Linked DNA regions of Diceros bicornis minor. The protein of the gene in region 2 interacts with the protein of the main gene of each other region in a pairwise test. Links are inferred from orthologs where the notes say so. Each region holds a gene or a part of one and is shown on either strand. Other genes may lie near its edges. The genes, in order: SS18L1 and MAPK1IP1L.

What was found.
Region 1: the proteins of MAPK1IP1L (region 2) and SS18L1 interact in binary tests that used the Homo sapiens proteins (3 or more experiments, as listed by UniProt). The two-hybrid records come from large-scale screens. The link is inferred for Diceros bicornis minor from reciprocal best matches to the Homo sapiens genes MAPK1IP1L and SS18L1.

What each region holds. Positions count from the first base shown.
Region 1 is NC_080758.1:1,938,162-1,954,860, reverse strand, and holds the start of SS18L1 (calcium-responsive transactivator), read left to right. Parts: upstream 1-8,879; 5' UTR 8,880-8,980; coding exon 8,981-9,049; intron 9,050-16,699. Other genes in the region: PSMA7 (proteasome subunit alpha type-7), read right to left, coding at 2,281-2,373, 2,826-2,888, 3,642-3,761, 4,233-4,355, 5,021-5,145, 5,870-5,996, 8,376-8,471. UniProt on the Homo sapiens protein: Transcriptional activator which is required for calcium-dependent dendritic growth and branching in cortical neurons. Recruits CREB-binding protein (CREBBP) to nuclear bodies.
Region 2 is NC_080763.1:5,144,991-5,161,179, reverse strand, and holds the start of MAPK1IP1L (MAPK-interacting and spindle-stabilizing protein-like), read right to left. Parts: upstream 9,827-16,189; 5' UTR 9,712-9,826; intron 8,468-9,711; 5' UTR 8,440-8,467; intron 7,808-8,439; exon of another isoform or gene 7,766-7,807; intron 2,719-7,765; 5' UTR 2,715-2,718; coding exon 2,697-2,714; intron 1,995-2,696; coding exon 1,287-1,994; intron 290-1,286; coding exon 278-289; 3' UTR 1-277.

The DNA.
Region 1 (16,699 bases), on a different chromosome or scaffold from region 2:
TTGACAGGGCATTGTGTTGAACATAAGCACCTTGGTAACTAAACCCCTATAAACAGCTATAAAGGTCTTAGTTCTGTATTGATTAAGTTACTGTAAAAGCTTGGGTTTATTTTTGTAGGACTTAATGGCTAAGAATTGGAACATGGCAATGGGGCTGCTCTGTTGGAGTAAGGTAAATTGTAATTATAAATAAACATGCAAACCTTTAAGACTTTTTTCTCTGCTCTGGAAGTAAATAGTCCTGTTGATTCTCCTGCCCAAATCACATCACATCTAACATGCCCATCTGAAGGCAGGGGCTGGTAGGATTTGGGGGAACATCTGGTGCTCTTGAGCGAGACTGACCCAGTTGGTCTGGGTAAAGGGCAGTGAGCCAGGCCTGAGTTTACTGTGGGCCACCCTCCTGGGATGAGTGGCACCGCTCTCCAGACACTTTGGACACAAACTAGTTTTAAAAACTCAGTTCACAGGTAAACCTGCTTAAGAAGTGGCCCCCTTTGCTGCCTTACTGCAGCCTCCAAGTTCCCCAGAACTTCCATGTTCTCAGTCCCTTAGACCGTCACAGGGCTGGATCCCTGGACCGTGCGGGAAAGCAAAGACCTGGCTGCTCTCAGACTTGAAGTGTCCCATTTCACTGTAATGGATGTCCGGGTGACTTTTTTTTTTTGTCAGGAAGACTGGCCTGTTAGTGAGCTAACATCTGTTGCCAATCTTCTTTTTGCTTGAGGAAGATTGTCCTTGAGCTAACATCTGTCCAGTCTTTCTCTATTTTATATGTGGGACACCACCACAGCATGGCTTGACGAGCAGTGTGTAGGTCTGCGCCTGATATCCGAACCCGCCAACCCCAGGCCACCGAAGCACAGCACATGAACTTAACCACTACGCCACTGGGCCAGCCCCTCTGGTGACTTTTTAAAAGCAATCTCAGAGGATAAGGTCCCTCCAGTCAGCTGTGTCCCTCTCCCTTCAGTACCTGCCTGATTAGTCAGGCCCAGAGCATGACTGGGCAGCAGGCAGTCGGCCTGTATTGCTGAGCCCAGCCGTCAGTTTCAGAACCTGAACAAATTCCTGGCAACCTTTCATTTTTTGGCAACCAACGTCCTTGACCAATAAAAAATACAAGTCTTCCATAGTGTACATACTAGATGCAGGTAGCCAGGGCACTAATTCTAAACTAGTTAGGTGGCTCAGCAAACAGGTATTTCTTGGCTAGAGAATCTAGTCAGGTCATAGTCTACCACCTGTGACTAACCTTGCTCTTAACACTGACAACCATTTTGACAATTATGCATTTTATGCTGAGCTTAACGTATCTGGGCCTCTTTACTCCTTTTTAGAGGAAAAATGTCTATGTGCCATTAGATGAGAACCCCAAGCAAGAGAAGCTGTGGATTGAGGTCGAAAGCAGAGCCCCAGAGTCCTAACAGCAGTTGGCAGGGGCGGCCAGCCTGAGGACCCAAAAACCCTGGTATTCTTGGGGTGCAGGGAGCCAAAAGGCAATTCCATCACAAGGACTGGTACCAGGGCCTCATGGGAGGCTGCAAAGCTGTGCAGGTGAAGGAGGTGGTGAGGATTTTTCTGTAAAGACAAACCTTAGGACCATGACTTAAACTTCTGCTGGCCTGGAAGCTAAAAGAGCAGTCTTTCCGGCTAAAATGCAAGAGGGTGGGGAGTAGCCAGTGCCATAAGTCTTAAGATAGAAAATATGTAACATGCTAAGTGTTGATCTAAATCCAGGAATACAATATAATTTGAACACAGCTGCTGTTCTGTAGAGTTCTGAGTTCAAGACTTAAACTGAGTGCTGTTTGTGCTTGTGTCCTTGACATTCGAGGATTTGAGTGGAGGTCTGTGAAGAAACCGAAAGTCAGTCCATCTGTTTAGAACCCTTCAAGGAGAGACACTGAGTTGATGCACCCATCTGCAGTGCCTGTCTGCAGCCGTGCACAGCACCTGTTGCACTTTGCATGCTGCTTGGACTCCTGAAAGCCCTCCCACAAACCCCAAGGGAGGACCCACTCACTTAGAGCCTGGCACCAAGGAACGGAACGGAAAGCTCACACTCGAGAGTGCTCAGAAACCAGAAGTTAGGGAAGTTTTCTAAAGAGCTATCATAATTACACCCAAAAGACACACACACTCTAAAAAAAGGTTAAAAAATATGGAAGTTTACTGTAGGACACTTGGACAGTATGGATAAATGGAATGGAAATGCCTACATGTCATTCTGAAAATCATCCATGATTTGAATTAAAAACCAGTATAAGATTTCATTCATCATGATGCTTTCTTTTGTTTCTTTTTTTCGTTTTCTTCTTTTTCTTTTTCAATTTCAGCAACGTATTTCTCAATTTCTTCAGGATTTAAAATCTACCAAAGAAAAAGAATTTATGGTTAGCCCCCAAGCCACACAAGGTGCCCCAGAGCACCAGTGCCCCCTTGGACTCTGGCCAAACTACACCTCACAGCTGCCACTACAGGAAAACAAGGCCCTGTGTGCCTGATCCAGCCAACAACAGTCAGAGCCTATTAAAAAGCAGATTATCAAATCATCATTTTTTTAGGTGATTATTAAAAAGCAGAAGCAAATCCACAGTTGTTGAGAGCTTTTCAGCATGCCAAGAGCACGCGTGAGTACTATCTTCAACACCGTGGAGACCAACACTGGAATGCTTTCTTTTTGACTCACTGTGGAGAGCCTTGGAAAGAACCTCTTTCCCAGTGCTGAAGCCACAGCAGAAGGGTCTTGAACTTGTACTGCCCCTGCCCTGATCACGGGGAACTCTCCATAAGTAAAGACAGCAAACAAACTTGGTAATTACCTTGAGGGGCTGATCTCGCCTCATGACAGCAAGTTCAATGTTTTTGCCGCCTGACTGAACCACCTTGGAGAGGAGAGAAGAACATCAGACACCTCGCCCACCTCCAGACCAAACAGCTCTGGCAAGCACCTCCAATGATAGTGTGTGCACCTGAACCCAGCACTGCCACATGAGGGAAGAGGGCAGGACACACTGAAGTCCCAGCACCCAAAGCTTTTGTTCTACCAGCACGTCACGTGCAAAGGGTCAGCAACACCTGCGCCCGTCCATCTGCTGGCAGTCGGACTTGGGCTGGGTCACTGGTCCTTCTTGCACAGTAGCTCTGTTCACAACTCGCCCCTCTACATGCAGCCTTTCCCACATCTGAGCTCTGAACCCTGGACCCCAGCCTGGTCCTCCAACTACCCCGCCCTGGCCTCTGTGGCTTCACCTGCCAGCACCTCCACCGTCTTGACAAAACCCAAGTCCTCATGACTCCCAACCATTACTCCCAGTTTCCTTTCCAATCCCCTGACTGCAGCAGCAGCTCGAGCTGCAACAAGGCTGAGTGATGGCTGTGACCTGTGCGCTCCTGGCCAACCACTTAGCCTCTTGCTGCCTCAACTGCCCCAGCCTATAAAGGAGCTAATAAAGTGCCGAACAGTGCCCAGCACTGCTCAGATATCTGAGCAAGCCCTCAGATATCTGGCATTACCGTTGGCACCCTCGCCACCTCCTTGTTGCCCTCTCGTCAGTTGCCCATTCTGCCCAGCCCAAGAACCACCACCCGGTGTGGGTGTCTTCACCATCTTGCCCAGAGATCAAATGCAAACTTACTTCCAGGAGGGCCTTGATAACCAGCTTAATGGTCAGATCGTCTGTTTCGATGGCTTCGTCAGTATAATTCTTCTCTAGAAATTCACGCACTGACTTGGCACCCCGCCCTATGGCATTGGCCTGAAACAGAAAGGTGTATTACATGATGCAGGGCATGACAATCCAGAGCCAGCCCCAAAACAGGGCCACCCCTGTGGGCCAGCCGGCCACTGCCCTGCCTGCTCTCCCATGTGCTGTGGTGAGAGGCAGTCTGGAGGGAGCTGGGTCTGGGCCCCAGGCCCTGCCCTATGGCTTCCTTTCACAAAGGGCTATTGGGAGTTGGTGCTGGTTCTTACCAGGGATGGGATCTACTTCTGTTTCGTTACTGAAAGGCACACAGGCAGTTTTCCTTTAGGCCACGTATCCTTACACCCCACTGTGCTTTGACTTTCTCCGGAACGGCAACATTTAATGACTTCTTTGCTCCCACACCAGCAGGGGTTGTCGTGGAACAAACAGGTGGTGTGTGCGTGCACACACATTTGAAGGACTAGGCCCAGTTCCTCCCAATGGCCTCCAAACCCTGAAGCCCCTGTTTTGTCAGAGACTCACCTTCCAGGCATGGTATGTGCCTGAGGGATCAGTCTGATAGAGTCTGGGGGTGCCATCAAAGTCAAAACCCACAATGAGGGCAGAGATGCCAAACGGCCTGCGCCCATTGCTCTGCGTGTAGCGCTGGCGGGAAAAGGAACACGTTAACACCGTCTTCATAGCACGAAAGGCCCCACAGAACCCACCCTAAGTAACGTGTGACATTCCGAGCTCTGCTTTGAGTGGAGAGATGAAAAGAAACTACTAAGTACACTTCCAGATTATTTGCAATTCAAATGATAAATGAAATCAGCCAATAGTTTTCAGCATTCCCCCTTTCTTTTCCGCATTTTCACTCTTAGAAAAAGACACTCCTATGACCAGAATCACATCATGGAGCACAACTGAGACTCTGGAATTATTTTGATGACAGACACGCATTGTGGCTACACAGTTAGGTTTAAGGACGACTAGCATTTCACCAGAGGGGGAGTGTTTTTCAGCCCCCTCCCAGCTGCTTGGTGACCCGTCATTCAGAACGGCAAGATAAAAACTATCGTTGCCCTCCAGCAATAGGAATTTGGACTGCACCTAAATGAGAACAGAACCATGCCGCTGAAATGGACAAGCTTTAGTAAATTACACCTGTACAAGGACAGATACAACTGCGCGTGGAACAAGTGCAGTTTTCTGATTCCCCTAAAGTGACACATGCAACCATCCATGTGCAACACCAAGGGAGGACACCTTCCATGACAAAGCAGCAACTGCTCCTAGCCAGAACTGGTCATGGGCAAGTGGGCACCCACCTGCTTCAGACTGGCGATGTAGCGAGTGATGTACTCCACAGTGACCGGGTCCTCCACGGTCAGCCGATGGCTCTGGCACTCCACCCGGGCCCTGTTGATGACTATCCGTGCATCAGCGGTGAGGCCTGCAACGATGGCAGAGAGGATCCCACCTGAGCCACACCTCGTCTACTCCAAGCAAGGACAGCACAGATCACAAGAGTGGACAGCGCTAACCTTTGGCAAAGATTCCAAAACCAGTTCTGTGAAACCAACACTGAGGTCATTCTGAGTGATGACAGTGGAATGATTGGCCTCTGTGAGCTTCTCTGAGAAAGTTGGGTGTACAAAGAATTGTGCCTGTCAGAGCATATTTAAACACACTAATCCTTTGACAAGGCAAGTCAACCTCTAGTTTAGGTGAACGCGGATCTTCCTGAACTGGACCTGCTTGAGGGAGGCAATGAGTGAAATGACCCAAGTGCCAAGAACACACTGCAGGCCCTGACAACAGGGCACTGTCCGGCTCTCTCCACTTCACAGGTGCGGTTAGCTGTGGAGAGCCTGACCTTTCTCTAGACTGTAACTCCGATCCAGCATCGGGCTGATAGCAGCAGTGGAGGCAACAGCACAGCCCCCTCGTCCTGGGGGTGTTTATTCATTTAGCCCCTGTGCTTCAGCCACCTGAGAAGGAAAGCTCCCTGCCCCCCACCATGGCCAAACGTTTTCTTAAAGGCCCAAATCGATGCTTTTAAATGATTTTAGTTTAGCCAGTTTACATGTCTCCCAATAGCCCACCCTTCAGGCTAACCTCCAAAGCGCAGGTCTTCGCTGAGCCTCCGAGGAACAGAGCACCAGCCCCCGACTCACCCGCGAATGCCATGCAGACGTTGTCGTCCAGAGCGCAGATCTTCCGCACGGTTCTTTCATCCTGCAGTTTGGCCACTGACTTCTTCTCCACGCCAAGAACAACAATGTCTTTTCCTCGAACGCCAACCTTCAATAAAAATCAACACAGCACTTAACAAAGTGACATGAGATTCTGCCACTCCACACAGAGCATTAAGAGCAGATGTGAATATCCCAGGGGTAGCAGCCCACGCACACCCCTCCCCCACTCCCTGGACCACTGCTTTGGGCACCACACCCTGCAGACCATGGGTATTGATCTGCTTCTGGCAGAGCTAGCCCAGGTATCATGACCTACATGCCTAGTCCTGTGGCTTAAAATACTGTTATGTAGTTTCAGTTACAATACAACTAATAAGTACTGTAATAATAAGTGTGTATAAGCACATGTATCAATTCAACCCAGTAAATGAAAGACTCCAACAAAAGGTGCCTTTAAGCCTGAGATCCTAACATTCAAGTCAGGTGTTTTGAAAGCAGTGTTTCTGCAGTTGTGAAATTACACTAAAAGCTGCCCCACCCTCTCCTGCACTATTGCACACCAGTGTGCACAGCTGTGGAGAAGGCCTGATTTGCTGTCAGGTGGACAACTGTATCAAGCATTACAGGTGTCAACTGCTCTCTGTTTATGGCAGATACTGTAAAGGGGAGAAGGATGTATTCAAAACAGGGAAAAAGCACTGGCAGCCAGTAAACCAGCCAGTGAAGGCAGGAGCAGACACAAATGGGACAATCACTTGGAAAAGCAACATCCCCTCTTTGTTTAGAGCAGGGTTTCTCCGCCTCAGCACTGTGGCCATTTGGGCCGGTGAATTCTTTGATTAGAATCAAAGGACTGTCCAAGCACTGCAGGATGTTTACCATCATCCCTGGCCTCTATCCCTAGGTGCCAGTAGTACCTCTCCACCATCTTGGACAAGGAAAAATGTCTCCACACGTTGCCAAATGCAGAATCACCCGTGGTTGGAAAGCGCTGGTCTGCAGTGTTTCAGATTTCAAGGAGCTTTCTCGTGTATCTTCAAAATTCCCCCGGGGCCGAAAAGAAGGCCAGGCCCAGAGATGCTAGGTGGGTTAAGCAAAGCTAGCCACCTGGGCTGGCCCAAGGTAGTACTGGGGATGGGAATGCGGGGGTGAGCTGTCAACTCTTCCAGTGCTCTTTTAGCTGAGTTAGGTCACAAGATGGATTTTGGGCCTTAATTTCAAAAGAGATTTGGGAAATGAGAAACACTTCGAAATTCACAGAACCCCATGTCTTTCTCTCTGCCTGCTCACATCTCTGAAATACCAGACGATAAAAATTAAAACTATCCTACAGTTTGACCAATAAGCAAACTGACAAGTGTCTCAAAGGCACCACGAATTTAAATTTCAAACAGTGGTCAACATGAGAGGTACAAGCTCAGGTGAAGGGGATGATGGGACAGCACACTGCCCAACGGAGGAGGGATCAGAGCAGTGAGAGCCTGCTAGCAGCCGGGAGCCGCCCCGGGAACTGCGGGCGGACTCTGAGAATCTGCCACCCTTTGTTCCAGAAGCCCACCTGGACCTCCCGACACCTGCTCTCCCTAGTGGGGGAAGTCCCCTGGCGGGGAGCTGTCTGGATGCAGTTCACCGAAGTCACGTGCTTCCTTAAAGAACATCCACAGAGCCAGTAACAGCCAGTCCTGCTGCCCGGTGCGGCCCCTGCACCTCTGCTCGCCTGAGGTGCATCAGCGCAGCCACACCGAGCTCCCCGAGGGCCGGTGCAAAGGTACCCCGCCAAGATGGCCGTCACCCCAGGCGCTCACATGCTCTGGAGACACCAGAGAGAAAGGAAACTGGCTCTTTGAAATGTACTGCGGACACTGAACTCGCTGGTCTCCAAGGCACCCGTCTAAAGTGACCGGCAAACATGGACCACACTGGCCCCTACGTGAAAATCAGCGTGATGAGAGCAATGTGGTGCGACATCACGGTTCCCAAACGTGCCCCTTTTCTGCTTCCTTTAGTAACACCAACGTTACGACTTCCCTGTGTTCAACTAACGCCCCTGTGGTAATTCCGAAAGGCCAATCCAAGCGAAGCCTCCCTGCGACCCCGAGAAGGCCCTCTGCGCGGCCACTCGGGGGAAGCTCTTCGAAAGACGCACCCGGGCCCCGCCCGGCCGGTAACGTGGGTCCTCGGTCCGGAGACGCCGCCGCCGCCGCCGCCCGCCGGGACCGAGGCGGCGCGCGAAGCCCCCCAACACCCTACTCTGTCCACGAGCGCTCTGGCCGTCTCCCCGCCTCCTCCCCCTCACCGCGGCCGACCTCCCGGCCCGCGCCCCCAACACGCCGGGGCCTCCCCCGCTCCCCCCGGCCCGCTCCGGCGTCCCCCCGCGTGCCGCGGCCTCCCCGCGAGCTGAGCCCCCGCCCGCCCCGCGTCCCTCGGCCCGGCGCGCTTCCGCCGCCCCCGCCCGGGCGCGCAGGCCCGGCGGCCGGCCGCTCACCGCGGTCGAGCCCTTCTTCACGGCCTCCTGCGCGTACTCCACTTGGAAGAGGTGGCCGTCGGGCGAGAAGACGGTGATGGCGCGGTCGTAGCTCATGCCGGCGGAGCGGAGCGGCGCGGGGCAGTCGGCCCGGGAAAAGCGCACACTCACGGCCGGCGCGGCCCGCGATTCACGACGCCGCTGCGCCCGCGCCGCGCGCGCCCGCCCGCCCCCGGCGCCGCCAACTGCGCCGCTGGCGTAAGGCGGTGACCCGCGCGTCAGGCGGCGTCGGGCGGACGTGCGCGCGCCGGGGCGGGGCCGGGCCGAACCACCGGCGGCCGGGCGCGGGGGGAAGGTGCGGCGGCGGCGGGCCGGACACGCAGCGCGGGGCGGCGGCTCAGGGGCGCCGCGCGGGGCTGGGGCTTGGGGGCGGGGGTCGCCCGGGGCTGCGGAGCTGCGGGCCCGGGGGCGGCGCGGCGGCGGCGGGGCGGACGAGCCCACGGCGCGGCGCCCCCCGCGCCCCCCCCCCCGCCCCCCAGCGACTGCGGAGAATGAGCACCTCGGGCCGCCGAGCGCAGCCGGAGAAGAAACCCTGATGATCTCGGGCTGAGCCTGTGTCCGCGACGATGTCGGTGGCGTTTGCGTCTGCTCGGCCGAGAGGCAAAGGGGAGGTCACACAGCAAACCATCCAGAAGGTGGGCTGGGGGCCGGGGGCCGCGGGCCGGGGGCACGCGGAGTGCGGGCGGGCGCGCGGGGCCGGGGCACAGGCAGCCGGCGGGCGCGGAGCGCGAACAAAGCCGGGGCGCAGCCGACGACCGCGACCCCGACGAGGCCCCGCGCGCGCTCCGCGGCCGGCCTGCGCCAACTTGGTCGGGGGCGCGCGGGGCCACGGGCAGGGGCGCAGGGCGGCGGGGCCAGTCGCCCGCGGGGTGATGTCCGAGCGGTGGTGTCCGCCGGGTGGTGCCCCCCCAGGTGGTGTCCTCGGAATGGTATCCGAGGGGCCAAGTGGAGAATAATCCCGGGCCGCGCCCGGCGCAGTGGGGACCCGCCGCCTTCCAGGCCAGGGCGCAGGGCGGCGGGATTGGGTGCCCGCGGGGTGACGTCCGCGGAGACCCGCCTGGCTGGCGAAGGCTGTGGCGCAGCCCGGCGGGCGGCCCCTGGCCCCTGCGTGCAGCTTGGCAAGTGAAGGGGGCGCGGGGCGACGGGGACCTGGCTCAGCAGCCGGCTACGCCCTTCGCCTTACTAAGATGCTGGCACTCCAAGGCACCAAGGGGGGCGTCCCGAGTGTGGGACGCCGTTTTCTCAGCCCTGCAGCCCTTTAAGGAGCGCGCAACACCTCGGGGTTGACCTGCTGGCCAATCTTCCAGGCCCTTATTCGCGTGTGAAATTGTTTTTCAGCGTGACACTGGGCCGGACACCTCCTCACCTAACCAAGTGTGCAGATTCTCTTTACAGCTTTTCCCCGAGTTTTGTAAGTTTGGTCTTGGGGTTTTTTAGAGATAACTTTTATATGGGTTTGGGGACACCTTTAACAAAAGCCTTAAGTTTTGAAATTGAGATTTTAAATTTTCTGCTGTTTCTTTTTAGAAGACAAGTTCAGAAGAAGATCCGTGTTAGCCATTCCCGTTTCAGTTTTCTCAGCGTGCTTGATAGCTGCATTGATTTCTTTTCTAATCTCTGGATTTCTGAGGTCAACAGCAGTGTGTCCTGTTCCCCTGAGCCTCTTATTTCCCCAAGGGCATTCACCTTGAGGATTGCGGCCTCTTCATGACACGCGTTGTCCTCAGCCTCTCGTCTGTTTCGAGACCACCTTTGCTGTGGCTGGTTTTGACACATGAGGTGCCTCAGGAAACTCTAAACAGGAGAGAGGCGATTTGAGAAGCAGCAGAAATATAGACTTAAAAGTGGGGGTTTTTTTTTGTTGTGTAGTAAACACTTATGTGGTGCTTACTGCATATCAGGCCCTGCACTGAGAGCTTTGCAGATGTTAACTCACTTAATTCCTCGTGGTAGTTACTATCATCTCCATTGTGTAGATAAAGAAACTGCAGCACAGGGAGGCTGAGTGCCTTGCTGGTAAGTGGTGGAGCCGGGAGTTGAACCTGAACGTTGGCTCCGGGGGTCTGCTGTAACTATGACGCTGGATATGGAGACACTGGGCTGGCCGAGGGTCAGGTGCTTGGCTCAGAGGCACGTGTTGGCCGTCCAGGAGTCTCTCAGCACCCTGGCTCTTTGGAGCCTTAGTGTGATAAGCACATTACCGTTCCTGAAACCACCTTTGGCTTCAGCATTTATCCAGTTATTTGCACTGTGCATCCGCCCCCTGCTAAAGCTCCCCAAATTCTCCAGGCAAACGTGTGTCTTAGAGCATTGCCCCCAAACATCCGATCAGAAAGAGGGAAACCTGTGGATGGCATTCCAGGCAGAAAGTCGGCCTGCTGGCCATCGACACAGGCCGGTCTTCAATTAGGCTATCACCTGGTTTGACCTGGTGGGGCCAGCAATCTGTGGACTTGCCTTAGTGTTCTCATGCTGAATATATGTACCCAGGGCTCTTTTACTGGCAGTCTGAGAAGGGCGTGAGCAGCGCGTGGGCTGTGTCCACAGCGTGTGCTCGTGCTCAGAGCATTGAGAAAAGCGAAGGGTTTCTCAGAAGCCTGCTTGGTAGTGCAAGAGCAGTAAGTATACTCCTTGTCCTTAGAGTATATCTGGGTAGGAATTTGTCAGGCAAACTCCTACTCAGCCTTCAAGGCTCCGCTCAGATGTGCCCTCCTTCATGCTCCCTCGGTGGTCATGTGGTGAGTGTAGCACCTTGGCACACAGCTTGGGCTCCCAAGTTTGCGGGTCACCGATTTATTCTTTGTTGTGTCCCCAGCCTGGCACAGTTAGTGCCCAGTACACACTGGGGCATCTGGGACGCCGGGTCTGTGAGTGGCAGTGCTTGGGATAGGCAGATGTATTCATTTCCTGGGGCTGTCATAACAGACTACCACAAACTGCGTGGTTTAAAACAGCAGAAATTTATTTTCTAAGAGTTCTGGAGCCCAGAAGTCCAAAATCAAGGTGTCACCAGGATTGGATGCTTTCTGGGTCTCTGAGGGAGGGTGGTTCCATGCTTTTCTCTGAGCTTCTGGTGGTTGCTGGCCATCTTTGGTGTCCTTGGCTTTTACACGTATCACCCCAATCCCTGCCTCTGTCTTCACCTGGCTTCCCCTCTGTGTATGTCTCTGTGTGCAGTTCCCCTCTCGCCGTAAGGACGCCAGTCGTAGGGTGCAGGGCCCACCCTGACCCTGTGTGACTGCATCTTGACTTGATCACGTTTGCAGAGACCCTATTTCCAAGTGCGGTGACGTCTACAGGTGTTGGGAGTTAGGACTTGAGCATATCATTTTGAGGGACACAACTCAACCTGTAACAGAGGATGTGTGGGGGAGTGGTACTCCAGACAAGGAGAACCAAGGAACAGAGCTAGGAAGGGTCTGGAAGATCGAGGGAGTCGCAGGTGGTCCCATGCATGGCCTGCATAGAAGGGTCTGGAAGATTGAGGGGGTCCAGGTGGTCCGGCCCGTGGTCTGCGTGGAGCAGGAAGGGGGCCAAACCTGGGAGGACAGGGAGAGCCGGCCTGCGCTGGAAGCCTGGGCTATGTGCCGGGGTGGTTGACCCTGGGGTGGCTGAGCACAGTTTTAGTGTGGGGTGAGACGCTTGCAGAACTGCACTTTGGTGAGAACCACAGGGGACACGACTTTGCCGAGGACTCTCCTCTCAGGTGGAGAGGGGCAGTGTCCCAGCAAACTTCAGTGGCCCTCGTGCCTGGCTAGCTGGCCCGCAGGCTGGGACCTGCCCTGTGCTGCCGTCCCCTGGTTTGGGACCAGCGAATCCCCACTGTCCAGCTCTGGTGGGGTGGGGTTGCAGCCATCTCCATGGACCGCGAGGCTGCGCTTGGGCACGTTAGAGGGGCCCCTGAGCATCGGCCTTGCTGCTTGGCACACAGTAGTTGCTTAATAAATGTAAGTACTATTGTTACTGTTTGTGTTGGTGTTCTTAGTTTGTTTCCTTGGCTGGAGGGTGGGAATGGCATCTATTCCTTCTGTACCTTGTGCAGCAGAGACAAGGTCGGTGGGGACAGGACAGAGCTGATAGGCAAGGGGACATCTGGGTCTAGTTTAGGAAAGTGAGACCAGAGAGGGCGGGTGCTGTGCGGGGGTCTGAGAGCCAGGGACCAAAGGGGGACCAGCCCTGCCCCAGTGTCCTCCATGCCCAGGGGCTGGGGGGCAGGGGCACGGGTAAGGGCTGGCCATCTGGGTCGGGGGTAGGTGCCCTGTGCTCTCTCACACCTGGAACTCCTTGTCTTAAAGAACATGGGCTAATTTGATAAGGAAAGTAAATTGGCCATTTTTAAAGTTAAAGCTGTCCCCGTGACTACAGATGGCTTGGGCACTCCTAGCCTCCCATTAACTTGGCTGATTGATCCTTTTAGGCAGTTGTTACTGAACGCGCTTTCTGCCCAGTGAGCAGAGGCCCCCGGGAACGATCCTCGGATGGGAGGGGCAGTGTCCCCTCGCTCAGGTTCTTGGGGCCAGCCCTGGGGAGGGGTGAGGGCAGGGCGCCGTGGAGGCGCAGGAGAAGCTGGGACCGGGGCTGCTGCATGCTGGCCAGCTCTTAGTTGGCTTCTTTGTCAACTTCTGTGTCTTAACGTGCTGCCTGCTGAGGGTGCTGCTCTGCAAGGCACTTGAGCACGCTTGGACCTGAGCACTGCAGAGGCTCTGACTCCAGCCCCCTCGGGTGGGGAGGCATGGCGTCTAGCCATGCCCAAGCCTCTGTCCCCTCTGCCGAGGAAAACCTGGCAAAGGCTCTCCTGCTGGGTGCTCCTACAAAGAAGGTGTGCTCCCTGCCTGTTGCTCAGGCCCTCAGGAGCCCTTTGGGAGCCCCTCAGGCCTGGAGGACCAGGGAGCGTCTGGATAAAGTGCAGTGCCCACCCCACCTCCCTCTCACTCCTTTCCCTCCTAAAGCAGTCACCTGCCTTGTCCAGTGGCTGCCTCATCCACAGGCTGCGCCTGTCTTCTATGTGGTAGCTGTGTGCACAGTGTGGAGGCAGAGGGAGAGGGACAGCAGCTGGGTCTTGCCGTGTGACACTCACACGTGTCCCTGTTAGCTCTCTCATTGTGGCTCCAGCCCTCTGCCCCCAGCTTGTTCCCTGGGCCAGTGGTTTGGGGCCTGGGCACCTGCTCCTGTGTGCTTGTGGTCAGAAGGCCGCTTCCCTGGGATCCCCTGGCTGCGCGTGAAGAACTATCATGCCCAGCCCCACAGAGGCAGGAGTGAGGGGGGCCTGGTGGTGATGTCGCCAAGTCCTGCAGGACCTGGGAAGAGGTTGGGTCAGTCTTGACTGTCTGATCCACAGCGTGCACCTCAACTGCTTACCCTGCCGTGTGAACGGGACAGGAGTCGAGAGGAAGAAGGTGCTAGATGTCTGTGCAGAGGGGGCTCCTGTGACGAGGCCTCATTCCGCTTGGCCAGCACGTGATTCCTGTGCAGAATGCCCGTCGCCATGGGCTCCTTATGTTTCTCTTCAGTTGGAGACCGCTGTGGGGGAGTGGCCTGGGGGCAAGGATGGGGATGGACTCCGTGGAGCTAGGGGGGTTTCCTGGGCTCATATTCTTATTCTGGTGGAAAGCCAGGCTCAGCCTTCTGCACCTCAGCTTCCTTGTTTTAAACGAGGATGCTGTGTGAGCCCCTCACAGGCCGTGCCTCTAGTTAGAGACATCACCTGGCTCAGGAGCGTGCTCGGCCTGGTGACCGATCGTCTTCAGCCTTTGGGTCAGACGTTTAACCAGCATTTATCAGCGGCCTTCCGAAAGGGAGGCGAGGGTTCCATCCAGATGGCAGGAAACTATCGCCAAGTCCAGAAAAGGGACCTGCGGGGTGAGACGTGTCTGGATGTGCCGCGTTCCATGCATCGCGCCCCTCCCCCTTCAGCATGGGGGCTCTCGCAGAAGCAGAGTGGTTTTGCTGTGCTGTGTTCACACGTTTATGAGCATCCCCAACACTGAAGACAGGAAGTGACTCCCGCGCGGCCTAAGGAAGATGAAAGTATGTTCGCTGTTGCAGTGACGTTAAGATGTTTTCCAGGGTCCTGAGAGTCTGGAAATTGGACGTGTGTATCACACACAGAGGTAGGACCAGGAGCAGAGCCAGCTCTTCCCAAGGACACTGCATGTGTGTAAGGTTTGGGTTTTTTTGAAACTCACCTAATTCACATACTCTGCAGTTGGGTAAATGTTCAGGGGGTCCCGTTGGCTTCCATCAGCAGAGTTTGTAGCGCCGCTTGCCGAGCTCTGATGTTGCCCAGTGGTGGCAGCTGCCATGTGCTGGGGGATAGAGCCCTGATCATTAGCAACGTCTGCCCTGAGGTCGGCAGTGGGAAGAGGGGGCACAAGTGCCAGGGTGGCTCAGCCACCTGGTGATGCTTAACTAGCTGTCCAGTTAGCCAGAGCTCGTCCCTCTCACACCTCAGGCGGCTCCTAGGAATATACCTCACATGTCCATCCACCCCGTGTGTGGGGGCGTGCATCGCGGCACTCTTTGTAGCGGTGGAAGATGGGAGACCAACTGAATACCATGTGGAATGCCCTGGAGCTTAGGAAACAACGGGGTGGGATCTTCACGCACTGAGACAGGACAGTCTCCAAGACACCAGAGAGGAAAGGGCGCGATGTAGACCAGCGGGAAGGGATTGTTTCCATGTGTTCACACAGTGAGGGGGCACACGTCCAGAAGGAGCGGGGGTTGGTTAGCCCTGGTGGCCTTGGGTGGGCGCACGTGGCCCACCTTTCACTTGGGGCTGCCTGAACTTCGGCATGCCCGTGAACCTCTTCCCATTTAACCAGAAAGCAGCAAATCTTTGTTGATTAAAAGAACAGCCACAGGGACATTGTGAGGGATTTTTCTGCCCATTGTGGGGTGACCTGAGCCCTCCCCAGTAGTGAGCCTCGGAGCTCCCAGGCCTCTCTGTGCCCCTCCTTCCAGGGCCGCACACAGGTTGTCGTGGGGGGCTGCTCCCTCCGTAAAGATCCTCAACCAGCTTTCCCTGCTGGCGCCAGCCCCTGTCCCCCACTCTCTTTGTGGGCTCTGGGACCCCCAGCCCCTTCCCTTTCCCGGTCTCTGTCATCCTTACCCACCCAGTCAGGACTGCCCATGTGGCCTCAGCAGTTCCAGGCCTGTCCCGTGCCAGCCCTGCCTCCTGGCTCGTGTGTTCTCTCTGCTGGCCATGTCCGTGGGAAGCAGTGCCCTGGCCCTCCCAGCCTGTTGCCCTTCAGTTCCCTTACCGCCAAGCCCAAGTCTTTGTAAAGCCTGCGTGGTGGCTTGTTACAGAGACAGAGACCATGGAGTGACATCTCTCGCTTCTGCACCCCTTGAGCCTGCTCCCATGTGGACGCTGGCCTTGGCCCCATGAACCTCTGACCCCCGGGACATCAGCCAGCGTGACAGCAGAGGCTTGATAAGCACTTGTGCTCTGGGGCTGCCCTCTCAGAGCCCTGAGAGCACCAGGATGACCACATGGAGAAGGAGGCACACGCATCCCAGCTGTCCCATGAGGCCAGCCACCAGGTGACCCTGTGATGATCCCATGTGAGACCAGCCGCAGACCTGCACAGACAGCCTGGGGTCATGAGAACTAAGAAATGGTTGTTTTAACAACAGTGCGCGGGTTTCGTTTTGCAGCAGTGGGTAGTAGGTGTGCCCATGTGTGTGGTGACCTTGGTCCCATCAGCCTCTGCACTCAGCCCAAGCTGCGATTGAGAAAGTCACCCTCACTCCGCTGGGCACAGGATTCCCATCCCCAGCCACCCCACTGTCCCCTGCTCTGACACTCCACAACCTCATCTCCAGCTCGTGGAATTTGTCTCCACTCCTGGACGTGCCCTGCTCCGCCACACCTTTGCACACACCGTGCCCCCCAACTGGGCTGTCCTTTCTCCCGTCTTCACCTGTGTGCCCCTGGTCACCTTTACAGCTCTGGCTCAGATGTCATCTCCAGGTGCCTCCCAGGGCCCCCGCTGCCAAGATCACACGCTGCTGCCATGTGGCACCAAGCAGATGTGTGCCCATGTCAGTCTCCGCCCAAATCTGGCCAGCTGCCGCCACTCCACTATGAGCAAGAGCGCGGTCTCACCTCCTCCCTGTCATGCTCACCAAGGCCTCGGACGGGCCTTCAGAGTGGGGATCTCACCACCGCTCGCCAGGGCGGCCCTCAGTGCTGGCCTCTGGCTCCCCCAGGTGGTGTTGCCAACTTCGCACTTCTCTGCCCACAATGCCCTCCCCATGTGGCCATGGGCCACACCTGACAC
Region 2 (16,189 bases):
TAATTTAAACAAATTCTATCAAAGAGCTATTCAACATAATCACTTCAACTCTCCATAAAAACTGAATAAAAATCACATTTGAATGATTTACATTTTTGATTGTATCCATCTGATACATCCAAGTACAAGAGGCAGATATCTTCTCTGAGAGGTGCAAGAGTTGTTCATTCATGAATGCCCTCTAAGAATAGTGAAACAGCAATTTTTATATATGCATGCATGTGCATATATATGTACTTCAAAAAGCAAAGCGTCATCTCTTCATCCATTGTTAACCTTAATGGTAAGACTGCAATAGAAAAAAGAAAAAGTAAACTTCTAGGTTTTGTAAATGGAGTTTATTAACTCCTTTCTGTGGCTTAAAATAAACTTATTGCATCATAAATCCAAACAGCAAGTCATCTCACTCATTTTGGCATACAATTTAAAAAAATAAATTTTTAAGAGAATATATATAGCAAGAAGTTACACTAATGAAAGGAAGCTTTGGGGGCACTTTATTAAGATTTTCTTCCTTTACAGTTGGGGTGGATGTTTGATTAACCTAGTTGGAGAGCTGATTAGTTATTTTGTTAAGAGTAAACAGATTGTTCCCCCTTCAAGGAGAATCTTGACTCTGCATTTGGACACTCACTTGGCTTACTTCATGGGGGAAGCAGAGTGCTTTTCAATTTGGTCATATGTCCAAGAAGGCCTTAACTAAGACGTCAGCTCTACTCCAGCTTGGCGGACAGCAAAGTATAAAGCATTACACAATGCATAACAGTGGTAGAACCTTGAGCTCAATGCTGCTAAGGATCTAAAAAACTTCGGCTGAGAAACACTCAGTTTTGCATGCAAGATGGGCAATGTTACATATTCACTGCTCTGGATTCTCTCAAAGTCTACCTCAATATCCAGCCAGACAGGCAGGGATTGCTCTTATTGAACTGTGCTTTCGTGTGATGCTAAAAAACATTACTGAGAAATGTTAAAAAAAAGTTAAGTCCAATTAAATGTTATCTCTGAGTTTACCTCAAGGATGCTGTTGAGGACACTGCTACATTACAAGGTCTTTGGGGATTTGGGGGAAATTTTTCTTTCCATTTTTAGTACTGGGAATACTTGTGTTTTCATCCTTTTAAATGTTTTACCTGAAGTGTGAAATTTACTCTTGATATACACACACACCTTCTCTTAAAGTTTTAAAAGCTTTCCAATCTTCCATCCAAGACTGGAGACAAATAATCTTTCAGGTGTGCTTATGTGATTATTAGTGCATGTTAAATAACAAATTAAACACTCACCTGGGGGCCACCAGGCATTGGTGGAGCACCAGAAGGTCCTGAAGGCACTTGAAAAGGATTATTGGGAGTGGGATAGAGTCCTGGTGTGGGATATGATCCTGCAGGGGCAGGATATGGTGCTGGTGGTCCCCAGGCTCCCGGTGGAACAGTGCCCCATGGAACAGGTGGTGCTGCCCCTGGTGCCTGGGGAAGAGGAGGAGTGGGATATGGCCCTGGAGATGGATATGGCATATTAGGGGTAGGATACTGCCCTCCCATTCCTGGTGCCCAAGGTCCAGAAGACATGGATCCCCATGGACCTAAATGACCAGTGGCAGCTGGATCTGTGGGTGCACCATATGGTCTTGGAAGCTCTGGAAAGGGGATATTTGGTGTAGGATATGGCCCTGTGGGGCCTGGGCCTGGTACAGTTGGGGCTGGATAAGGACCACCAGGTGGGGGGCATGACGGTCCAGATGGAGGAAATGGTGCTGGGGGTCCTGGAGGTGGTCCAGTGGGAGGCACAGAGGGATACATTCCTGTTGGTGCTGGTCCAAAAGGCACAGTGGAGGGTGTCGCACTTGATGGGAGTCCAGATGGCACAGAAGGTGGAGCACTTGGGTTACTCCAAGGGTTGGAACCTGGCCAGCTTTGAGGAGGTTGGCCAGGTTTTGTATTGCTCACAGCAGAGTTTTTGGCAGGGGAGTGTTCAGGTAGTGCATCTGCCAACTGGAATACAAAACAAGCATGTCTTTACCAATCTTATTCAGGGACAAGTCATGCCAAACGTGATTATAAACTCATAAAAGATAGTAAGCTACTGGGTCAAGGATTACAAACCTCTGTAACATCTTCAAAAGCCGAGCTCTTCAGTTTAAAAACAATTCATTTAATACAAAACTTCAGGGGTTACTTCGAATTATCAACTTTACAATGCACATTCCTCAGAGAAGTTCATGTTTTCTCAATACAACTAATCAACATATTGTGGATCTGAATACTTGGCTTTACCTCAAACAAGTTACATACCCTCTCCAAGCTTTAGCTTTCTCATTTTCAAAAAACAGTTTAGGGTTAACTTGAGGCTTAAATGAGATAATTCACTTGATACACTTAACACAGTGCCTGGTATATAATTTTCAATAAACGGTGGCTATTATTAATATCAGGTTAAAAGAGAACAACAGAAGAAATACTTTTTAAATTTTTTACTTACGGATTCATAAGAAATAAATACTAAAGAAGTGTTTTCAAACATGTTTTATCTAAGTAAATTAAGGCAAATCACCTATCACAATCACATCCCCCTCCCTCCTCAATCCAAGAATCACAAGCAGCACCTCTTTTAAATTAAAAGACTTATGGTCCACAGTTAGGACTATATTCTCCTAAGAGCCAAAAAACTTACAAAGGATAAATGCATCAACTTACCGAAAATTCATCAGACATTTTCCTAAAAAGAAAGAAGGAATATTTCAAAACCATTGTTTACCATTTCTTATATATTCTTTTTTTGAGGAAGACTGGTCCCCAAAGCCACAGCAGATAGCTGTATGTCATAGTTGTACATCCTTCTAGTTGCTCTAGGTGGGACACGGCCTCAGCATGGCTTGATGAGCGTTGCTGCGTAGGTCCGGGCCCAGGATCCAAACCGGCAAACACTGGGCCACCAAAGCGGGGCATGCAAACCTAACCACTGCGCAACGGGGCTGGCCCCTCTTATATATTCTTTTAGGAACTTTCTATGCATACATTACTTTTACTTAAATGGAATCTTAATCATTCATACAGAGTGTTTTTCTTTATATAGAAAAAATTTCCATAATAGTTCATACAGCTCTATTAACTTCATCCCTTTTTACATACAAAAGTGATCCATAATTTAGCTTACACTCTCATTTTGGTGGCAGGTTAGGTTTGTTTGCATTTTGGGTTGTTTGAAACAATGATACAGTAAACATGTCTGAACACATATCTTTGCTCACTTGTGAATCCATCACCAGGAAAATACTAGAAACAAAATTTACAGTGAACAGGGAAGGTTATCTAAAATCCATCTCAAAAGTCCATGCCAATTTTAAAGTCCCTTGCCTATTTACACTGTCTGCTTTTCCTTCTAGTTCCTCTTCTATCACTTGCTATTATGAATTTATAAATCATTTTCAATTATGATAGATTAAAAACTAGCATCTTGTTTTAACTTCTTTACTTGTTTCAACTTTTGACTTTAAGGAGAAAGTAGACCATCTTTTTAATTTAATATCCCATTGGTACTTCTTTTTCTGTGAATTTGCTCATGTCCCTGGACCACTTTTACCAATTTTTTAAACTGAAGTATAATTAACACTCAATAAAATGCATGGACCTTGAAGTATTCAGGTCAACAAGCTCTAACTGTCTAAGCCTCTCTTAACTACCCAAGATATAGAACATTAACCTCACTCCAGAAGGTTTATTCATGCTCCTTTTTAATCAACCTCCCCCAACAATCACTTTCTAGTTTTTGCTTATTCTTTGACTTCATACAACTAGAAGAAGACAGTATGTAACTTTTTGTCATTGATCATTGTACTACTTAGTAGTACTTTTTTTAATGCTTTGTAAGACAGTACGCAAATTAGCTCTGTTCTGTCTGTTACATATGAGACAAAAAATTTTATCCCAAGTTCCTTTTATTTTTAAATCTTTTAAATGGTATTTTTTGGCACTACAAAAGTTTTTAATTTCGTGTAGTCAAATTTATCAATCTTTCTGAACCACATATGGCTTGTTTTACAAAGGCCTTGTCTAATCCAAGGTTAAAAAAAAAACTCACCTACGCTTTCTTATAGTATTTTCACGGTTTAACTTGCTATTACCACCCTCCATTTACAGCTGGAGAAAAGGAAGCTTAGCAAGTTAACTTGTTTAAGGTTACAGACCTAGTGACAAATAGAAAAGGGGTTCAAACCCAGGCACAGTCTGAGCCCAGAGCTGAGGCTCTTAATTAGAGCCAGGCTATAGAACCTCCATCATTTCCCACAGGTATTGTGGACTCTATTCTTTTCTACTTATCTGTGCCATAAAATTCCATTTTAATTATGGTGGTTTTATATTTTTAATATTTTAACATCAGTTGCCCTACTACTACTTTTCTTTTTTCAGATTTTCCCAAACACTCTCACATACACCTTTTCCAGATGATTTTGTAAAAAAATTAAAAAAAAAATCTGTTGGTGTTCTGGTTGGAATTGTATTAAATTTACAGATAAATTTAGGGGCCATCTGATAGATTTAAAATGTTAAATCTTCTCATTCAAGAACAAGGTATGTCTTCCTAGTGCCGTCATTCAGTATCACTCAGAAGTTTTGAAAAATCAGGTCTCCTACACATTTCTTGTGAGATAGATTTCTAACTAATAAACTTTTTCTTGTGGTTGTAAACTGGCTCTTTCCTTTCATTGTATTACTTTTGTAAGCAGCAACATTACTGAATTATTTTATTCCTAAAAGCTTATCAGTTGATTCTTTGGGATTTCCAGGTATTTTTTGGTATTTGCAAAAAATAATAATACCTTCTCTTCCCAGTATTTACATCTCTTTTCTCTTTTGCATCAACTAGGACTTAACAATGAAATGTTAAATAGTGATAGTGAGCACAGCAGTCTTGTTCCCAAGTCTCCCGGGAATGCATCTAATGTTTAAGTACGATTCTCTCTCGTGTGTGTGTGTGTGTGTGTGTGTGTGTGTGTGTGTGTGTGTGTGTATGAGTGTATGTGTGAGGAAGCTTGGCCATGAGCTAACATCCATTGCCAACCTTCCTCTTTTCGCTGAGGAAGATCAGCCCTGAGCTAACATCTGTGCCCATCTTCCTCCATTTCGTATACAGGATGCCGCCACAGCATGGCTTGACGAGTGGTGCGTAGGTCCATGCCCGGGATCCGAACCTGCAAACCCTGGGCCACCAAAGCGGACTGTGTGAACTTAACCACTATGCCACTGGGCTGGCCCTACAATTCTCATTTTTAATTTGAGATTTTAAAAAATTACATTAAGGAAGTTTCTATTCATGTCTATGTTGCTAGATTTATTTGTTCTTATTTTGCTAGTTAAAAAAAAAAGTCAGGGCCAGCCCCGTGGCTTAGCAGTTAAGTGCGCACACTCCGCTGCTGGCGGCCCGGGTTCGGATCCCGGGCACACACCGACGCACCGCTTCTCTGGCCATGCTGAGGCCGCGTCCCACATATAGCAACTAGAAGAATGTGCAGCTATGACATACAACTATCTACTGGGGCTTTGGTGGAAAAAAAAAAAAATAAATAAAATTATTAAAAAAAAAGAGAAGACAATGAATTTCCTCAGATGATCTTTGGCATCTAATGAGATGATCTTAGTTTTTCTCCCTTATGCATTCACACAGTTAATTAAATGAATAGATTGCTTAACATTGAGCCATCCTTGCATTCCTGGAGTTTTATTTTTAAGTATGATTTGGTTATCACGAGGAAGGATGGAGAAAAAGAACATGAAGACCACTAAGTCACAACTGCTATATCCTTGTTTTTCATTCAGAATATCAAAAAACATTTAAATATACAGCAAATACAATTACCCATTCATTCCCATGTTAAGGTTTGTTTTATATTAAAACATCACATCACAAAACAGTCAATTCTTAGGACTAACACCTGAAGAAACCTTATCAGTGCACAAGTTTAAAGTCTACATAAGACATGCTTTTCAAAGAGGGTGAGCCTTTCTGAAACAGAAAATGGTTCTGTATCAAAGTTCACATTAATTATGGAGCAGAGAACCTAACAAATCAACCCATTCAATTTCATATGGTCTTGCTGTTCAGGTTTTCAGAATTATTCTTTTCTTAGTTTTTGAAAAACATATATACATAATATACAGTTAACTAGTCATAGAACAACATTAAAATATAAATTATTCCACAAGTTAATAATATTAAACCGATTTACAACTCTGGCTTTCCAAATCAATTCTGGCAAACAGAGGAATTACTAGAATATTATGATTATAAAGATTTTTAAAGATTTTATTTATTTATTTTCCCCTCAAAGCCCCAATAGATAATTGTTATGTCATAGCTGCACATCCTTCTAGTTGCTGTATGTGGGACGAGGCCTCAGCATGGCAAGAGAAGCGGTGTGTCGGTGCACATCAGGGATCCGAACCCAGGCCGCCAGCAGCGGAGCGCGAGCACTTAACCGCTACGCCACGGGGCCGGCCCGAGAATATTATGATTAAAATAATGAAGCCCTGACCAAAGGGATTAGAAATAGTCACTCCCTGTTCTCCAGCACTGCGTAGCAAAGTGACCTAATCCTCATGCCTAGAATAAACAGTGTTCATGTTCACTGAAAACATTCCAATTTACTTTAGGGGGATACTTTCATCATAAAAAGGTAAAAAATAGATTTTGACATTAGTGTTTCAATATGATAAAAACTACAGAATATAAAAATATCTAGATTTTCTAAAAGGCTATTCCAAAACATCTGAAGTATGCTAGTTATTAAGATGAGCTCAGTGTAATCCGAAATTAGCCACAAACACACACAAAAAGGTTTATAATCAAGAAAGGTTTTTGTTTTTTCTTTTTGGAATAATCTAAAGATATTACTTCTAAAACTTTCCAGTATCACTTTATGGCAGGATCTACACATCATCTGAAAAATAATCATTGTATTTTCTGAGCAGTAAGAATAGTAATTTTAAAACAGAGCACAAAATTTCTTTTGACATACACTAGAAAAGTAAAACAACATTTTGATAATGCCTATGGCCTTTGGAATAAAAATGATAATTCAATCACAGGGAGGTTTAAGAAAGATGAACTTCATAAATTACTAGTGACTACTGCACAAGGAATATTTCAAAGGGCCAGCAAATTCTGATGGCACACTATGGGACTACATGGTTATGAAACCCAGACATCAATCCTTTTGACTGAGTCTTTTGACAATGGCAAGTTTCTTAACCAGAGACCATTTTTTCATCTGCAAAACGATTATAAAATAAAAATTCCTGACTACTTCACAGATAATTAAAAGCAACGTATTTAATAATCTATAGAGTGCTATAGACACGTAAGATGTTTATTAAGAGAAACTAGGGGAAATCAGTTTTGCACTGATCTGTTTAGTAGGGAGGGAGGATGATAATATATTGTACTGAAGATATAAATTTTGAACTAGAATATATGATAGTTTTTAGTATTGGCTCTTTTAGCAGATACCTTCTATCTGGGCAACTCAAGAAATTGCAGATTTGAAACCTTCTGAACATTTAAAATTTTTAAAAACAATTAAAAGAACACATTTTTTCAACAACCTCATGTCAGCCATATTTCCCACACTTATTCAGATACTTATTGGAACATATGTGCTAGGCACTGTGCTGGGTTTTGGGGTAATGAATAGTATTGCATGGAATAAATGCTTAAGGACTTTACAGTCTGGTAGAGAACTACCATTTAAAAACAGTAACTACATTACCTGGGGTAAGCACAGGGCACTAAGGCAGTTCCTCAAAGGCTCCTAAAGGAATCAAGGCAGGGAGTATCAGGGGAAGAATCCGGAGCAGTGGTTAGCAGTCTGGGAGAACAATGGGGTAAGAGCTGGGAACAGGGGATGGTTGGGAGGGTCCTAGAAAAGGAGAGCAGTTTGTGCAAAAGCAAAATCTGCAGGAAGTTAAGCAGTTCAGATTAGCTGGAATATAGAAAGGAGAGGGATACGCAAGTCTTAGCAGAGAGCCTTTAGACTAAGGTTTAAACGTCTCTATCAGTCAGTTCACCTCAATGAACCTCCGTTTCTTCAACTATAAAGAACAAGCCAGTGATATGACAGACTAAATGGGACTCGTAAATCAAGTGCCTATAATAGCAGTGCTTAGAAAATAATGGGTGGGCAACATAGATATTCTCTTGTCTTCGTTTTTATGTGGGCATATTGCAGATGGTTAAGAGTGAACGCTGTAAACTGCAGCTCTTCACCGGCTGGCTCTGGGTAAGATGAACTCTCCAAACCTCAGAGATGTAAGTGGACAGGAATAGAATCCACCTCACAGATACGCTGAGACTTACATAATAAACAAATCTCTTGGTCACTGTCTGACACAGCAAAACTCAACAAATGTTAGCTCTTACAATCGCTGTTATAGGTCCACAAACCTTTATCGGCAGTTGTCAATTCAGAAACCTGAAAACGAAAGAAACGTTCCCAAGTTTGGTATAAAACTTACTTGGTGGCAAAACCTGACCTGAAGCGCTTTATAGTTTTCATTAATTCACACCTATGGCTGCACAAACGTTAATACTGGATTAGGGGCCTGACTCTGCTGGGGGTGTCACCTCTCATCTATGCACCTTATTGCCTTTCTACAATTGAAAGATAAAATCCAAAGATTTCCGAATTCCAAAACACACAGGCCTCAAGAATTTCGGTTAAGGGATAGGTCTCCGCTCCTCCTGGAGAGAGGAAAAGAACACTCCAATATACGCAACTTAGGTTTCCGAGACAAACTAGTTTTGAATAGGCGATGCAGAGACGCCAGTAGCAAGAAAACTTCTCTTCTTCCTGCCCAAGGAACACCACCGAACAAAGACTTCTGAAAGAGTTCGGAAGGCCACCTCCGCCCGAAGCGAGACTTCGTTTTCAAAACCGGCCTTTACAACCACCAGCTGTACGAGTGTGTATTTCTTTAGCAGCAGTGCTAAACAAGACGTTTTTCTACGGCCAGCTGAGTATGCTTCAACATCAGAATCTTCATCCATTAAAGGCACTACTCTGGGTTTTCAAAGAGGAAAACGGTTCAGCTATTTATAAGCTACCATGCATGATACGCGCTCCTAAACCCGACAACAGAGAATATTACAGAACTCCGCACTCGCCCAGGCTCCGTCACGGGTATTCATCGAATGTATCTGCTAGTAACTTGAGCAAGGACGCAAACGTTGTCACATGGCGGATGATGTTAAACAAGGGTCGAAGATTCCCCCAAGAATCTGTTCAGGCCTCTCCCTCCCTTCCCATTAGACATTGATAAACAGGGAAAGGGCCGGGGCCAAGGCCCGCGAGGCCCTCAGCCCTTTGGGGCCAGCGCAACAAAGGGAGACCGGGCTCAGCCGGAGCGAACCGGCCTCCAAGCGGGTCGCCCCGCCAGGCGGGTGGGGGAGGGGCCGTGTCCGCTCCCCGCCCCGCCCCCAGCCAGGCCTGACGTCAGGCGCCGAGAGACCCGCCCGGCGCGACGTCGCCGCCTCCGACGCCTTCTCCCTGGGGGACCGTCGGGGGGCCGCCCACGGCCCGGGAGAAGACACCGGGGAGAAGCGCTTGGCCCCGCGCCGCAGAGGCGGCTCAAGGACCTCGGTTACCACGCCCGCCTCCCGCTCGGGCACGCTCCCTCACCCCCTCCACGACCCCCGCCAGCGCCGAGGCAGCCTCACCCGGCAAGATCCGAGCCCGCAGCAGGTCTCGAGGCGGCGAAGAGGCCGAAGTACCGGGCGCGGAAGAACGGGGCGCAGCCTGACTGACGGCAGCGGCACCAGCAGCGCGCGCCTCCTCCTGGCGCCGGAACAGGAAACGGCGGGCGTGCCGCCCCCGCCCGTTCCCCGCGCCCCGCCCCCCGGGGCCGGGCCGCGCGCGCCCCCCGCAGGCCCCTGGCGGCGCTGCGGCTGCTGCGCGCGCTCGGCCCGGGGGAATGTTTCCTCACGGTGGGCGAGGGAAAGCTCCCCAGTCCTCCGGAGTTCTGAGGCGGTGGCGCTCTAGGCAGCCTGGGGGAAGTTGCTAACTTGTTTCCTGGAGTGGCTCAGGGGCAGGTTCTGGATTCCCTAAGCTCAGCGGTTTTCACAGGCAGGCCTCGAAGCTGGCTGGGTGTGGATGTGGGCCAACTGGGGAACGCGGTCCCTTGGGCCAAAATTGGGGAGAGCTAAACAATACGGGAAAGGAAAGACGTTTGTAAATGGCTTGACATATTGATATTAACTAAAGGAACAGCTGTCTTTGCAGACTTGTCCTGATCAGTGCCTCTTCTCCCCACATTTCGTTTTTGAATAGACCTTTAAGCACCTACTTTGCTAGGTCTGAAAGATGATTGTCACAGGGCCCAGCCGTCAAGGAACCTGCTAGCCAGTAATGAAGATGTCATAATTACGTGTATGGTGTGAAAAATATATACATATAATAGTACATATATTTTATATGTAAAAATATATTAAAGGTATGCAATATTCTTATAACATTTTGCTTCTGTGTGCAAGCCGTTAGTGGATCAGTGGGTGGACATTTTACTATAAACTTAAATGAAGAGTAATCTCTGGGCATGCTCCACAGCACACATAATTCTCATGCCGAAAAATGAGCAATAGAGGAACTTCAAATACCTAAGCCTGGGGAAGACATATTTTTGGATAGGGGCGATGGTCTATGGAAAATGATGCCACCAGTGTGAACGACCTACCCTGCGCTCATAAGAGGCATTGAATCAGCGGTGCCTTGTGGAGCTACAGGAAGCCTGTGGCAACAGGAAAGGTCAGTACAACAGTGCTAACTTTATTTAAAATTTGGTATTTTGCTCAGTAGAGTTTTTTTTGCATTCTGATTTTTAAATGTTGCACCAAAATATTACTTTTCGTTACTGAGCTTTTCAGTCAAAAAAATTTTGTGCCCAAGTTGAGTGCCGCACTCACCTCACCCTAGTCCCAGTCAGGTGTATCAGTGATACAGCCTCCAGCTTTTCCCATGCTCCCAGCCGATAACTGAGCATGGTGGGAGTTCTAGAGCTAGGCCTTTCCTGTCCCAGGTGGGCTCCTACAGGTAACCTTTGCTTGGGAACTAAATCCCCACCTAGCTTTTTCAGAACTGCACTGCAGCCTAAAGCCCACCCTACCCAATCCTTCCATTTCTTTCATAGATGTCAGCCATGCAATGTGGTATGAAGACTTGCCAACTTTCTCCTGCTCCCTTCCCCTTTATCCTTCATAGGTGTCCCCCCTCCCCATAAATCTCTTGCACATTTAATTACATCTTGGCACCTGCCTCTGGAAGAACCAAACGGACACACTAAAACTGAAAGGAGTGTATTATACATTAGAAAATATGTAAAATATAGAGTTTTAAATTTTTCTTTCTCAGATTCTAAATTGAACGTGTGAGGTTAAGGCTATACATTTTTAAAACAAAATACAAAGTCTTTGGATTTTATATATGAAGTTTTAATTATGAAGAAATGAAAATTTATTCAGATCAATTTATTTGAACTCACATCCGAGAAGAAACATTCAACTTCAGGATTAGAAATAAAAATGGAAAAAGTCTACTTTGTGGGTAAGAGGTGGATCATACAAACCTGACTGTTGAGAGCTCTAACAGCTTTGTGATGTCACTGCTTAAACTCTGTATATTCAAGTATGTATCAGATTCATACTTGCTTTATACAGAATTTATCCAATTCTAGCAAAGTCAGCATAATTTAAGTAAACCTCCTTGAGTTTTACACTGTCAAGTCTGAAAGCTTAGATTTGATTATAACCACAGCAAAAGCGATTATCTTTACTTCCTGCAAATGTAATTAACTTTTAAAATAAGTTAGGCAAACATCAATTTTACATAAACCTTATTAAGGGTAGGAGGAAATTGCAACTGTTCATCTAATTGCAGACTCTAAACCATAAATTCAAATTGTACTGTTATCTCTATTGTCAAATCAAGCCAAGAAAGCCTATTACAAACTAAAAGAGTGAATGTGAATCTGCAGGGTCCACTAAGGAGATGCTTTGAAAACCTATCATCACATTAGTACTTAACAGCTGTACAGAAATTATTTTCAAGTATGCTTCAAGGGTCACCTCTTAACTGAAGAATTATCCTTCAGGAAGTTAAGTGACAAGTATTATTACCTACATTTCATATGCTAGGAAATGAAGGCAAAGATTGAGGATTGAGTAATCTATTCAAAATTAAAAAGTAAATCAAAAATAGACCCTGGCTTTATTTGAAATAGGACTCATGTGCCCTAAATCCCTTCCCATTGGGTTATATCCATTAGTTTACATTTCTACTTAGAAGCCAATCAGTTTCAAAGTTACATCCATTTTGTGTCCAATATCTTAATGTATTAGAATAGTACAGACAGACTCTTGTAGTGTTGCTCATTTCTGCTCCTTTCTCGTAGGCCATTAAAAAAGAAAAGAAAAAACTTCTGTGCTTTGTGTTCCTTCTTTAGAAATAAAAATGAATGTAAAACTGATTATGTTAAACCAAAATTGTAAAGATTTTTTTTTCCAAAGTAGGAATAATAATCTGCTTGACTTAAAATATTTTATTCATTTGGACATTAAATTATCTAACACACAGGCTATTTTTACATTTAAACACTGTTTTCCTTGTGTTGTCTCCAGGAATGTCTCATAATTAAGCCTACTCTCCTGTGAGATTTGCTCTACCAAAATCTATATATGACCTATTTGACTGATTGATTATAACTAAAAGTGACAAAAAATTTTTAATGAAAACTGAGTATATTTGTAAGTTAGGTCTCAAGGTTTTTGTTTCACAGGAAGGAAGCTCTCTATTACGTGGATCTATAATATGATCCAAACTTCAGAGAGACAGGAAGCTGATAACTTGATTTATGTTCTTAATGGCTTTGGCACATGAATAAATGATAATGGTTTGTGTTTTTCTTATAAAAAGAAATGGAATTTGTATAATGATATGAGTTCTATTTGCCATATTTGCTCTGCTTTTTAAAGGATTTCTAATTACTAAGAGATTCTTTATATTATTTATAATAAGTCAAAACTTTAACTGAAAGCAATTCTTTGACCACAGTTTGCCATTAGCTGAAATTCAGGAAAAGAACACAGGTCTGAACACCAAATCAATAAATCTAGCCACAGGCTGACTTTTAAAAGCTTCCTTTAATCTTCTTCCTAGTAGGTCTTCCTTTAAATTAAACCATTCCCTCTATGAATTATTTAAGTGAATGGCATGGGTATAGAAAGATCACATATGATTCTTCATATAAAAATGCTCATGGAACCTAAAAAAAATCCATTCAGCATATTTCAGGAATTATAAATCAAGATGCTGTAGCTTAAAAAAAAGGGTGGGAAGGGGTATGGCCTGAAAAGCTTCAGAGAGAAATAGAAAAGTCAAGTTTATTTCCTGATTAGTGCAGGATGATTCCCAAAGCTCAGTTAAGTGTGTAGTCCAGACTAGCTATTAGCGATTAAGTAGTTCTCTTTCACTGTCAAGGCTTTTCCCTGAGGTAATGCCTAAATTCTTAATTTTTAATATTCTATCTTGTTTCTTTTAGCCCCATCATCTCTCACCAGTAAGCTCTACACATTTCCACCATGTTGAATGCTTTCTCAACTCTGGAATTTACACTTTTCAAATGCTCACAGCATCCAACTTAGAGTTACAAAATTTTTATTTAGATATATTTCTATCTTACCACATTGTTCATCTCAAAACTTACTTATTTTACTTACATATTCCAATAACTACATTTTTTAAATGAGTTAGTTTCTAAATGGATGCTCTTACTGAGAAAGGGGTTAGCCTTTCTAAATTCCAATCCCTTAATGCTTTAAAAAATTAATTTATTATTACTCTTTTCTTTTTCCTTCATGGTAAATAATTCTCAAGACTTGATATTTCCACTTTCCAGATTTCTTTTCACTGTAGCAAATACCAAAGGAAAAATACAAACCATTTCAGAGTAAATGAGTCTCTTCCCTGTTCTCATTTATTAGATCATCCACTTCAAGGCTATATATATGGCAGTATTTTGAAAATGTAAATAGCTATTAATACCTTAAAGTTGAAAAAATAAGAAAGCCAGAGAAAATATATCATAAGTGACCAGTTTGAATATATGAAAAGCTACTTAGATCTTGATTTTCATATAAACACTAATTTTTACCATTATAAAAGATAACATAATTATATTTCATTTTTCTTTATAAAATTACCCTTTAACAGAATATTTGTTAGCTAGTCATCCCTTAGGTTTTTCTGTACTGATAAAAAGTTATTTTTAAAAGAAAAATATTTAAAGTAATTGTTTCACAGAAACAGAAAGTCTCATTATCAAATTCTGATAAAAAACTATAATCATGGGTAGAGTCTCACCATACTATTAATTTTCTTTCACCAAAGATGGATATTTAGGAAGTGTTATATTGGTAAATAAGATCAGCTTCTCAGTGATCTACAAAAGCGCCACAATAAAGATGAGGTAGTATGAGACTTTTCTACTTTTGTAAAGGGAAATATCATCTTCAGAAGAGATATTTATCCTGACATTGGTGTTATGATATCCTGAGCCTCATCACTGCTAAGAGAGGTGCCATATTAGTAGCTAACCCTCACTGGAACCAAGACAATGTTGAGATCACTGAGACAAAAAAGGGCATCTTTATGTTAACAGCAGAACTTCAGAAAGGGAAATGTTACTTCAACATAAAAGCAATGACACTTAAGAAACATCTGTTCTAACTTGGAAATTTGAGTCAAATTTCTTTCAATCTGGGTAGAAGCAGCTTCCTACTAGAGCTAAACTATCATCAAGAAATCAATTCCTACGATATTTAAAATGCCAATTTGTACAAAGGGGTAGATAGTTCACCAGAAGAAACGACTGTCTAGGAAATTTATTATTCATCGATTCTTTAAAAAAGAGCAGTAGCATAGGCTATCACTCCATGTATCTTTATTATATTGGGATATTGATGTTTCTAAAAACATTTCCCTGCTCTTGGGATAGTAAATTTAAAATATTACACCTGGTGCCCAGTACTCTTCAGTATGGCATAAGCCATGTAGCTCCCAATATGTTTTCCTTTTTTTGAAGCCACAATAAAGACATGTTAATTCTGAAGACAGGGATAATTATTTGAAACCTGAAGATCAAAAACAGTATTAAGCTTCCTGAATACTGAGCTCCATATTTACTTCTTGAATCTTTATTCAAGCTTAATTTAAAATAATGAAAAACTACTTAGGTACTCTTTAGTTACCAATGGAAATTTGTCGTTGTTTATAAACTGTAGCATCTCCCCAAAGTAACAGGCTCAGAGTTTCTATAAAAGGGCTAAGTAGAAGCAACAATTCATAAGTAAATACAGAAAAACCTCACAATTGCTTTAGTACTTTAGTAACTACTAGTTACTAATAGCGTTATCATTATTTTTATAGCTTCCAGTGAGAAAAGAACAATATTTATGTTCTGAAGATGGTAACTCTTCCACGTTGAGAAAGATCTATTCCAGGAATAACAAATGACCGCGCCACATTGTGGAAGAATAAATTCACCTCCAAAATGTCATGTTCTCATTTGATTCTTACCGACCAGATTAACTGAATTTAGTAATCCTGCTTATAGTTAATATTTAAAATGAAAACACATCAAGTTTGATTTTAAGCAATTTTGTTACCTTTAACATCCCTATTATTAAATTACAAAAGTCAAGTACTTTAGTATGGATTGTGAATTACAACACACTCAGCTTTACCAAAAAATTTTAAAACAACTCTGAGAAGGGGAAACTATATTTTATGTATAGGAATACCAATGGCATAGGTTAAAGCATTTTACATGTAGAAAAGGACATTATTTTTAAAGAAAGTATGAAATACAGATTACTTGACTGTTTGCAATGCCTACCAAATGTCAAATGTCCATGGATCATATGCAAATTACAAATAAGAAAAGAAAAAAAATTAAGTATACAATCTACATGGTAAAAACAAAAACCAAACACCTCGTCAAAAATATCCATTAACCCCTAATGTGTAACCTTAAACAATTAGTGTATCATAAGAAAAATAAACTGATTTGGAAGTAAAATTTAGGGTAGAGGTTTATTTTGGAGTCTTAACTGCCCTTGTAGAAAAATTCAAAGTGGCATAATAAGA